2 linked regions of the Coturnix japonica genome follow. The main gene of each other region encodes a partner of the protein of the gene in region 2 in a complex. Links are inferred from orthologs where the notes say so. Each region holds a gene or a part of one and is shown on either strand. Other genes may lie near its edges.

The links.
Region 1: the proteins of BRAT1 (region 2) and INTS11 are in contact, whole or in part, in a cryo-EM structure (PDB 8UIB), measured with the Homo sapiens proteins. The link is inferred for Coturnix japonica from reciprocal best matches to the Homo sapiens genes BRAT1 and INTS11. Residues at the interface, in NP_689956.2 of Homo sapiens: Asp25, Thr27, Cys28, Glu30, Lys31, Asp34, Pro117, Ser156, Ser157, Leu158, Phe159, Ser162, Lys358, Ser359, Cys366, Arg367, Arg424, Arg427, Thr465, Lys468, Lys469, Trp514, Glu515, Asp518, Ser519, Glu522, Tyr560, Ser564, Ser604, Glu605; in NP_060341.2 of Homo sapiens: Leu9, Val15, Gly16, Lys27, Met35, His36, Met37, Gly38, Phe39, Arg43, Asp47, Tyr50, Thr58, Asp59, Asp62, His70, Leu71, Asp72, His73, Asp87, Gly88, Gln97, Pro101, Ile102, Glu105, Arg108, Lys109, Val112, Asp113, Lys114.

The regions. Positions count from the first base shown.
Region 1 is NC_029536.1:1,977,260-1,981,515, reverse strand, and holds the end of INTS11 (integrator complex subunit 11), read right to left. Parts: intron 4,021-4,256; coding exon 3,831-4,020; intron 3,658-3,830; coding exon 3,574-3,657; intron 3,454-3,573; coding exon 3,364-3,453; intron 3,089-3,363; coding exon 2,926-3,088; intron 2,418-2,925; coding exon 2,310-2,417; intron 1,908-2,309; coding exon 1,846-1,907; intron 1,755-1,845; coding exon 1,612-1,754; intron 1,483-1,611; coding exon 1,353-1,482; intron 1,061-1,352; exon of another isoform or gene 809-1,060; coding exon 743-808; 3' UTR 654-742; downstream 1-653.
Region 2 is NC_029529.1:3,418,617-3,421,799, reverse strand, and holds the end of BRAT1 (BRCA1-associated ATM activator 1), read right to left. Parts: intron 3,091-3,183; coding exon 2,994-3,090; intron 2,707-2,993; coding exon 2,608-2,706; intron 1,980-2,607; coding exon 1,798-1,979; intron 1,692-1,797; coding exon 972-1,691; 3' UTR 709-971; downstream 1-708. UniProt on the Homo sapiens protein: Component of a multiprotein complex required for the assembly of the RNA endonuclease module of the integrator complex.

The sequences.
Region 1 (4,256 bases), on a different chromosome or scaffold from region 2:
TACCTCCCTTAACATAGAAGGACTTCCAGCATTGCAGCGACTTCTTGGCAACTAACCACAAATGTTATGGTGTGGACAGAGGAGGATTTATATATATATTTGACTAGAAACTATATCAAGAAGGTTCAGGTTTCTTCAAGGCTTCTCAGCTGTTACTCATACTTCCCTCAATGAAAGTGAAGCTGTTGGGTAAACAGTATGTTTAAAGCTTCATACTTCTGCCTACATTAGATTTCTGCTTTGCTTTTTAATTTTGAAGCTTTGAAAGCTCCTTGTTTTGGTGCCTCAATGAGAAGACTCCCTGATAATAATGATGCCCTTAATGGCTAAAGCCCAGGGAGCTGTTCTGCCCCATGCACTGAGCCCAGGCCTTCACGTCAGTGCAGGAAAGGGCTCATTGCACGGCTGTTGCTTCTAGTTACTTTTGTGAACACAAAGCTAGAATGGCTTTGCTGAGGTTTTAAAGAAAACAAGCTGTGGGAGTAAAAGAATGCTCAGTCTCTTACCTTACTGTGTAAGTGATGTGAAGTTTGTTCTTCAGGACTTCTTAAAAACAGGCTGCAGTGACAACCTAGACCTGTTTCCAATAGAAGACTGCAGTACTGCTGAACACTCTCACTGTGGCTAATGAACAGACACTGAAGTTCCTCTGGCAAATGTTTTTCTAGTTTTGTTTTAATAACGTAAACAAAATAAGATCTGTATTTCTCTGAAGCACCAACTGTGCCTGCTGCTCTGTGGCTCAAGATGTACTCTGGGGCAGTCCCTTTTTCAGCAGGGATGTGAGATAGCTGCCTAATTCTTCATCCTATAGAAAAGAAAATCAGGATGAAATTGATTGTCTGCTTGACTCTTTCCCATTTCTGCTACCTAAGAATGGGCTAAAATAACTCTTGGATGCAACAGCAGCAGTGTTCAAAAACAGAAATGAACACAGTTAGCACAAATGTATTCCTAGTTGTTCTTTCAAGATACCAGCCTAAAACTTGTGCTTGTCAAATAAGGTGTCTGGATGTCCAACTTCTCTCTTTCAGAATAAATGATTTTTCTGGACAGCAAAGAATGAAGATCTGTTGAATTATTTTTTGTGTGCTCTGCTTTCAAGAAGGCAGATCCTCGCTATAAAAAAGAGCATTCAAAATGCAGCTGTAAGAAGTATATTCTTGAGGAGAACGACTATCTGATCGTAGCACAGCTCTGCCTTGATGAACTTACTGGTTACAGGCTGAAGTTTCATGCCTACTTCATAAAATATGCCCACCCTCTGTTGTTCCCTTGCAGGCCTGTTTTGGACTGTAAGATGTTGAGACCAATTAGAATTGCTTGAAATGTATGTTTTCATGTATTCCTACCTGGTAAGTCCAGGATACGAGCAGAACTTTGGTTCCTTGATCCTCTGAGTGTGCTGTGGCTTGGATAAGAATGGACTCGACTGTTATAGAACCATCAGGGAGATGCTGCACTGAGTAATCCTTCAGGACCCTGGTGAGACAGAATGTATGCAATTTATTTTAGAGGGGACTGCATTAGTTTGGCCAAAACCTTGAGTGCATCTGCAGTCATTCAGCCCAAGGGGAAAAAACAGCCAAATGCAACCAAGAAGGGGTTTACCCTTTGAGATGGTTGTACACACGGAGCACGGTCTCATGTTCTTTCCGTGGGTCCTGAATGTGAACACGGCAGGTGAAGCGCAGCTGGTGTTCTGCAAGGCCCAGCTCCTTCAGGGCCTGCTCAGGAGAAACCAGGCGGAAGCTCTGCAGAGGAAGAGTGCAAACCCATTACAAACTATTTCCTTGTGCACACTGGGGTTTTATTCCCTCTCTGTAGCCCCTACGCATTACTTACATTATCCTTCATAATCAGCGTGCCATGCATAAGCTTTGGCTTCTTGGCATCTGGTAAGAGACCTAAGCCAAGGGAAGAGAAAGACAACAGAGTTAATGATACCATGCTTGCTTGTTACACATGGAAGACAACTGCTCTAGAACTCAATGGATTTCCAAGTCTCAGCAAAAGCATAATTGGACTGAATTTTCATAGCAAATGGGCAATGTGGAGCAAGCAAGGTCATTTTGTGCCCGTTTTTTTTGTTGTTGTTAAGCACTACTGAACACCCATCCCCAGCACAGTAGTTACCTCACTTCACCGAAGCCCTTCTCACCCACTGAAACACTGTACAACCTGTTCTTACACAGGAGGGGCTGCTACAAATAGCCCAGCAATGCTGTTTCCACCTAATTCACGTGCTAAAATTGCAGTTGAGGGGCAGGACCCCAAATAATGTAATTCTTGGTTGAGAGATGTGTCACCTATTGCTGTTTCTCTCTTCAAGAGTCCCAAGGAGATGTCCACTGGGATGCTGGGATTGGTAAATATAGTTGTGGTCTCTCCATTTGCAGGCATGTAACAGTTGACATCTGCAGCATAAAGAAACAACATAAGGATCAGTGCAGCATTCTGATGCCCATAACAAAGTACTGAAACTAAACAGCCCCCCAGCATGCATTCCTTGCTTTCTCTGCTCATCTTTTAAGTCAGAAATCACTTATTCCCACCCCATCTGGACCCAATTCCTCATAATTAATGTTGCTAAATTAACATTTCTGATACACACCTGCCTCTGCTGCTTCTAAGTCTGAAGAAATGCAAATGCAGTAAATGCTGAACCATAACAATACAAGTGAAACATCACAACGTAACACCACAATCATGATGTAACATCACTAGAAGCCTAATGGACATTAAAATTAAATGGGCTTAGTGTATACTGACTTAGTGTCATTATACACTACAGACACTGATTTCCTGAGGATGACAGGTTCTGTAAATGACACTATTCCTAACTCTACGCTGATTACCAGTAAATTAATTACATAAAGCTTTCCTTCTTCTTTCTACTGTTTTCATTATCAAAAGTGTACGTACGAAATTCCTGCTCTATTTTCTGCTTCAGAAACTCCATTTTCTTTGCTTCCCCGTGGACCAGCAGGACATTGCGTGGCTCAGCCTGGCGAATCAGCTGCATGATTCCCTTGGCATCAGCATGGGCACTGAAGGACATGTACTCCACTTGCATCTTTACTTCCAGCTGTAAGAGGAGGGTGGTGGGAAGCACAGGTGCTGTGAATCAGGAGCAACTTTGCCTTGTATACCATATGCAAACTGACTGAGACCTCTTCATGTTTACCTTAAAAAGGACGTAGAACACTTGGATTGGGAATACTTGATCTCTCCAACCTGATTTCCCAATCCAAGTGCCCTGGGACATATCTATCTATCTATCTATATGACATGTGGTGTCTAACTGCCACCTAAAGTCCCAAAAAGCTTCCCCCCACAATCCTCATTAAAAATAACACTTACTATTTGTCTTCCTTCCATTTCCAGCTTGCGTTGTCCACTCAGAATCTTATGGCCCACTGTTCCCTGCACACAATAGCCTGGCATGATGACCTGAGAAAGAAACCAGGATCATTTAGCCCCACATGCTCAGGAAAGCCTTTGTTCTGACAATGGTATCTGTAACACTATTGCATTAATGCAAAATATCACTTAGGAAACAGAATTCCTTACCATATTCTTTTCGTTCCCTGCCCATTTCCTGAAGATCTGCAAGGATTGCCCTGCATGAAGCATACCAGGGGTTGCAAACACTACCTAGAATTCAAAGATGTGTCAAAAATAACAGCAGAAAAAGCATGTGTTGCTTATTTAAAATATCATTACATATAAATTTCCTAAAACTGTGAAGAGAATCCACTAAATACACATTACAGCACACTTAATTCAACAAGGCTGTAATGGGGCCTCAGCCATTGATGCCAACCTACCATTGGTCCTGGATTATCTGCAAAGGCTCGATCAAATGCTTTGATGTGTTTGAACTCAAACATGTTTCTCTGCACAAACGTTTTCCGGATCTTCTGATTAGTCCATGTGATGAAGAGCTTGTAATAATGATTAGCCTTCTCCGTCAGCCCAGTGGAAAAATAAATTGGAGCTTTCAAGTTCATTCTTTCCCTGAAGAAAGAAGGAATCCAGAAACAGGTAAGGATCAAATCAGTATCTTGTTTCTCTATGCTCAAAGTCTTCTGTAGTCTCCAAAGACTTCTGGGCACAACACACTCTGAGGAATCCATCAGTCAACATAGTGATAATGCTGTATCACTATGCTTGAACTGTGGTATGACCAGAAACATTTCCATACGATGCTTATAAAAAAAGTTGAACACTTCTTTTTTAATCCCTCTTTCTTC
Region 2 (3,183 bases):
CTTTAACTGCTGCTTTATTGTTGGCACAAAACAGGCTCCAGGTGGCTCACACCATGGCTCAGAGGTATGAAGAGCAGCCCTACCACAGCCCTCTTTAAGATCCCAGTGCTACTTTACACCTGGCCTGGTCTAACCAAGGAGTAACCCCCAAATGGGACCACCAGAATCATTGTCCTGCACTTCATGCTTCCCCCTTGCACACAGTGTGACCACTGCATGGGGTGAGAGATGAGCCGGGGAGCAACTCACACTGGGGCTTTGTTTGGGAAGGGGATGCGTGACAGGCTGAGCCAAACACTTCTCTGCCACATCAATGTGAGTCTGAGCAGTAAGAGGATAAATCCTTTACTCAGTGTTTTGTTGTTACAAATGGTTCTTGGAATTTCATACCTGTGTACAGATCAGGCAGCAGAACTCACACTGCCCCTTGTTCAGATAAGGAGCTGAAAAGAGCTCTGTAATCTTCTTTGTTCGCAGTACTTGCTCTCAGAGATGTGGGTTTTTCTCATCTGCGATGCTCTGCGTTGTTATCACTTGTGTAGCTGCTGCCTGCTACCCACAGGCCACATTCAAGTAACTGACAGAGCTGATGCGACAGGAGCCCTGTGCCTGGCCGCTGCTTTTGCTTAAATAGTCTGTAGCATCTGGATGGGGAAATCTGCCTCCTGCAGGGGCTGCACGGCTACAGCACTGCTGATTCTGAGCATATGAGGCAAAAGCAGAAGAAATGCATTTATTTACTTAAAAAAATAAAGCAGGCAGATCCATCCATCAGAGAACAGACTTAAAAATAAGAGAAACCATCAGTATTGAAACAAAGATTTTTTTCTATAACAGCTAACAAAACCATTCCCTTTTCTCTGTACAGAGTAACACTTCCTACTATCTCCTCTCACAAAAGACTTTGGTAGCAAAAACTCTCTTCACAAGAAACCTGTGTAAGTACCATTCCCTCAAAGCAAAAGATGGCTTTAGTAGCAGTCAGCTTCATTCTCCTCTATGGTCCCCATAGTAGCAAGGATGTCCTCTAAGAGGGACTGGGGGCTTTTCTCCACATAGTCACTACATTTGTTTAGGTCATTGCGCAGTTCCACTAAGTCTATTGTTCTCAAAGCTAACAACATGCTCTCTGGATCCTTAAAGTCCACTCTGTTATCATCATCTGTGGGGAAGTTCTGGACCAGACAACCTTGTTTTAGTGTCCTTTGTAACCAAAAAATGCCATAGACTTCAGGTAAATCTTCAGTCCCTTGTGAATTTTTGGTTTTGTTTCGACAGAAATGAGTTTTTAAGTCAAGCAATATATCACAGGCTTTCTGACCCACTGGCTTGTCACAGTCACACAATGACTGAAACAAGAAGCTGAACAGGTTCGCTCGGCAAAATATCTGCAGTGGCTCGTTAGAACGACTGGCTGCAGATGAGACAGGAGCATAATAGCATTCAGGAAGGCCAAAACGACAAAACATGTGGTCACAGAAAATCTGAACCAGTTCCAAACAACCAAGTTTGACTTCCCAGTCTAAGTCATGTGCTGCGGTCTGGACCACTGTAGAGACAAACTGCACTGTCTCTTCCAGTTGACCTGTGCAGCTCTCATTAAGCCACATGGTGAAGACGCTCATCACGGCTCTCCTAGGAAAGCCCTCTGGGTCTGTGGACAAGATTTCTTGAAGCTTTGCCACAGTTTTCTAAATGTAAAAAGACAAAGAGAAGAGGAGCATTAAAAACAAACTAAAAGCAGTAAAACAACGTGTAGTTCTGCTCGTGCTTGCAGCGGATTACACGAAGTCATACCTCTTTATCATACTGATTCCCTGCAACAGGCGACTCTGGGACTAAGAAGTAAGTAATGAAGGCCAGGTGTCCCATAGCAGTCACAGCGCTCGCTCGCACGTAGCTCTCTGGATCCTCAAGAAGATTTTCTGTAAGCTTTGGCACCTCTGAAGACAGGAGAGACTGCTTGAACTCATCGTAGTCTGTAAAGGAGACAGCAAGGCAAAGAAGTGAGGCTTTATTCTCTCAGAGCATGAATTTGTTTCCAATGCAAACAGTGATCTGTGTCATAAAAGGAGGCTCACTGACTGCAGGGCAGCTGTCAGTGAACAGAGCTGCTGCTCGCAGCAGCGCAGACAGTTTCTGTCAGGCTCCCCATCTTTTAGCAGTGTTGTGACTTCTAGTCATACCATATTTGACACAGCTTGGAAAAATGCATCTATGGTTGCTTCTATTGGTGAGAAAAAATTTGCTCCAGGTAAATTGGAATGTGGCTTCAGCCCTATAAAGCAACTTTTGTTTAAGGAAGGAGAATAAAAAGAAATGCTCATCCCTTACTACTGTCAAGCCAGGTAACATAGTTTAATTTGCTAAAGCTGTCTTTAAGGAGGACACAGCAATTCAATTTCAACAGAATGCTAATGTAAGTTTATTAATCTTTTTGACAGACTTTGACTGTGATCTGAAAGTAAAAATCTCAACGTATCTTTTCCTTCCTTCCTTCTTTCCCCCTGCAGTTACAGGTCAGAGGATGCTCCAAAGGCCTGACTGACTTTCCTAACGCTACAAGAAACAGTACTCTAATCTGAGCCATTAAATCTCTGCACGTACCTCTCAGGTTTTCAATCAAGTTGGTGAGGAACTCCAGAGAAGAATCTCGTACTTCCCAACAAGGACTGCACAAACGCTTCTGCAGCACCAGAAATACATCTGTGAAAGCCAAGGAAGAGGCGTGAATTGACACGAAAGGTAACAAACCCAACCAAGCCACTGTACAACCTCTGCACTGTTTTCTGTGATGTGACCCCTTTTGTTGATGCTGTGAGTGAGCTTCTCTCATAGTTCTTAGAAGCACTATATAAGCAAATACAACTAAACTCACCACAAATGCAAGCAAGCAAACAAATCCTAAGTGTTTTAGGTGGGAAAAGCAGGTGAGAGCACATTTCAGATGTGCCACCAGCTGCTGTTTGTCCTAACTTCAGTAGCTTTGTTACCTTGCAAAATCTTCTCAGTTAGTTGCTTATTTTTGAAGAACATTCCTGGCAAGCACATCAACCATGTGGACATAGCTTTAAATGATTTCTTCAGAACCTGAAGAAATACAAAGCAGATGTACTTTACTGCAGGAGAAGGTGCTGCTGTCTTTATGCTAGATACATTTCTTTTTTGGACTCAAAATTACAG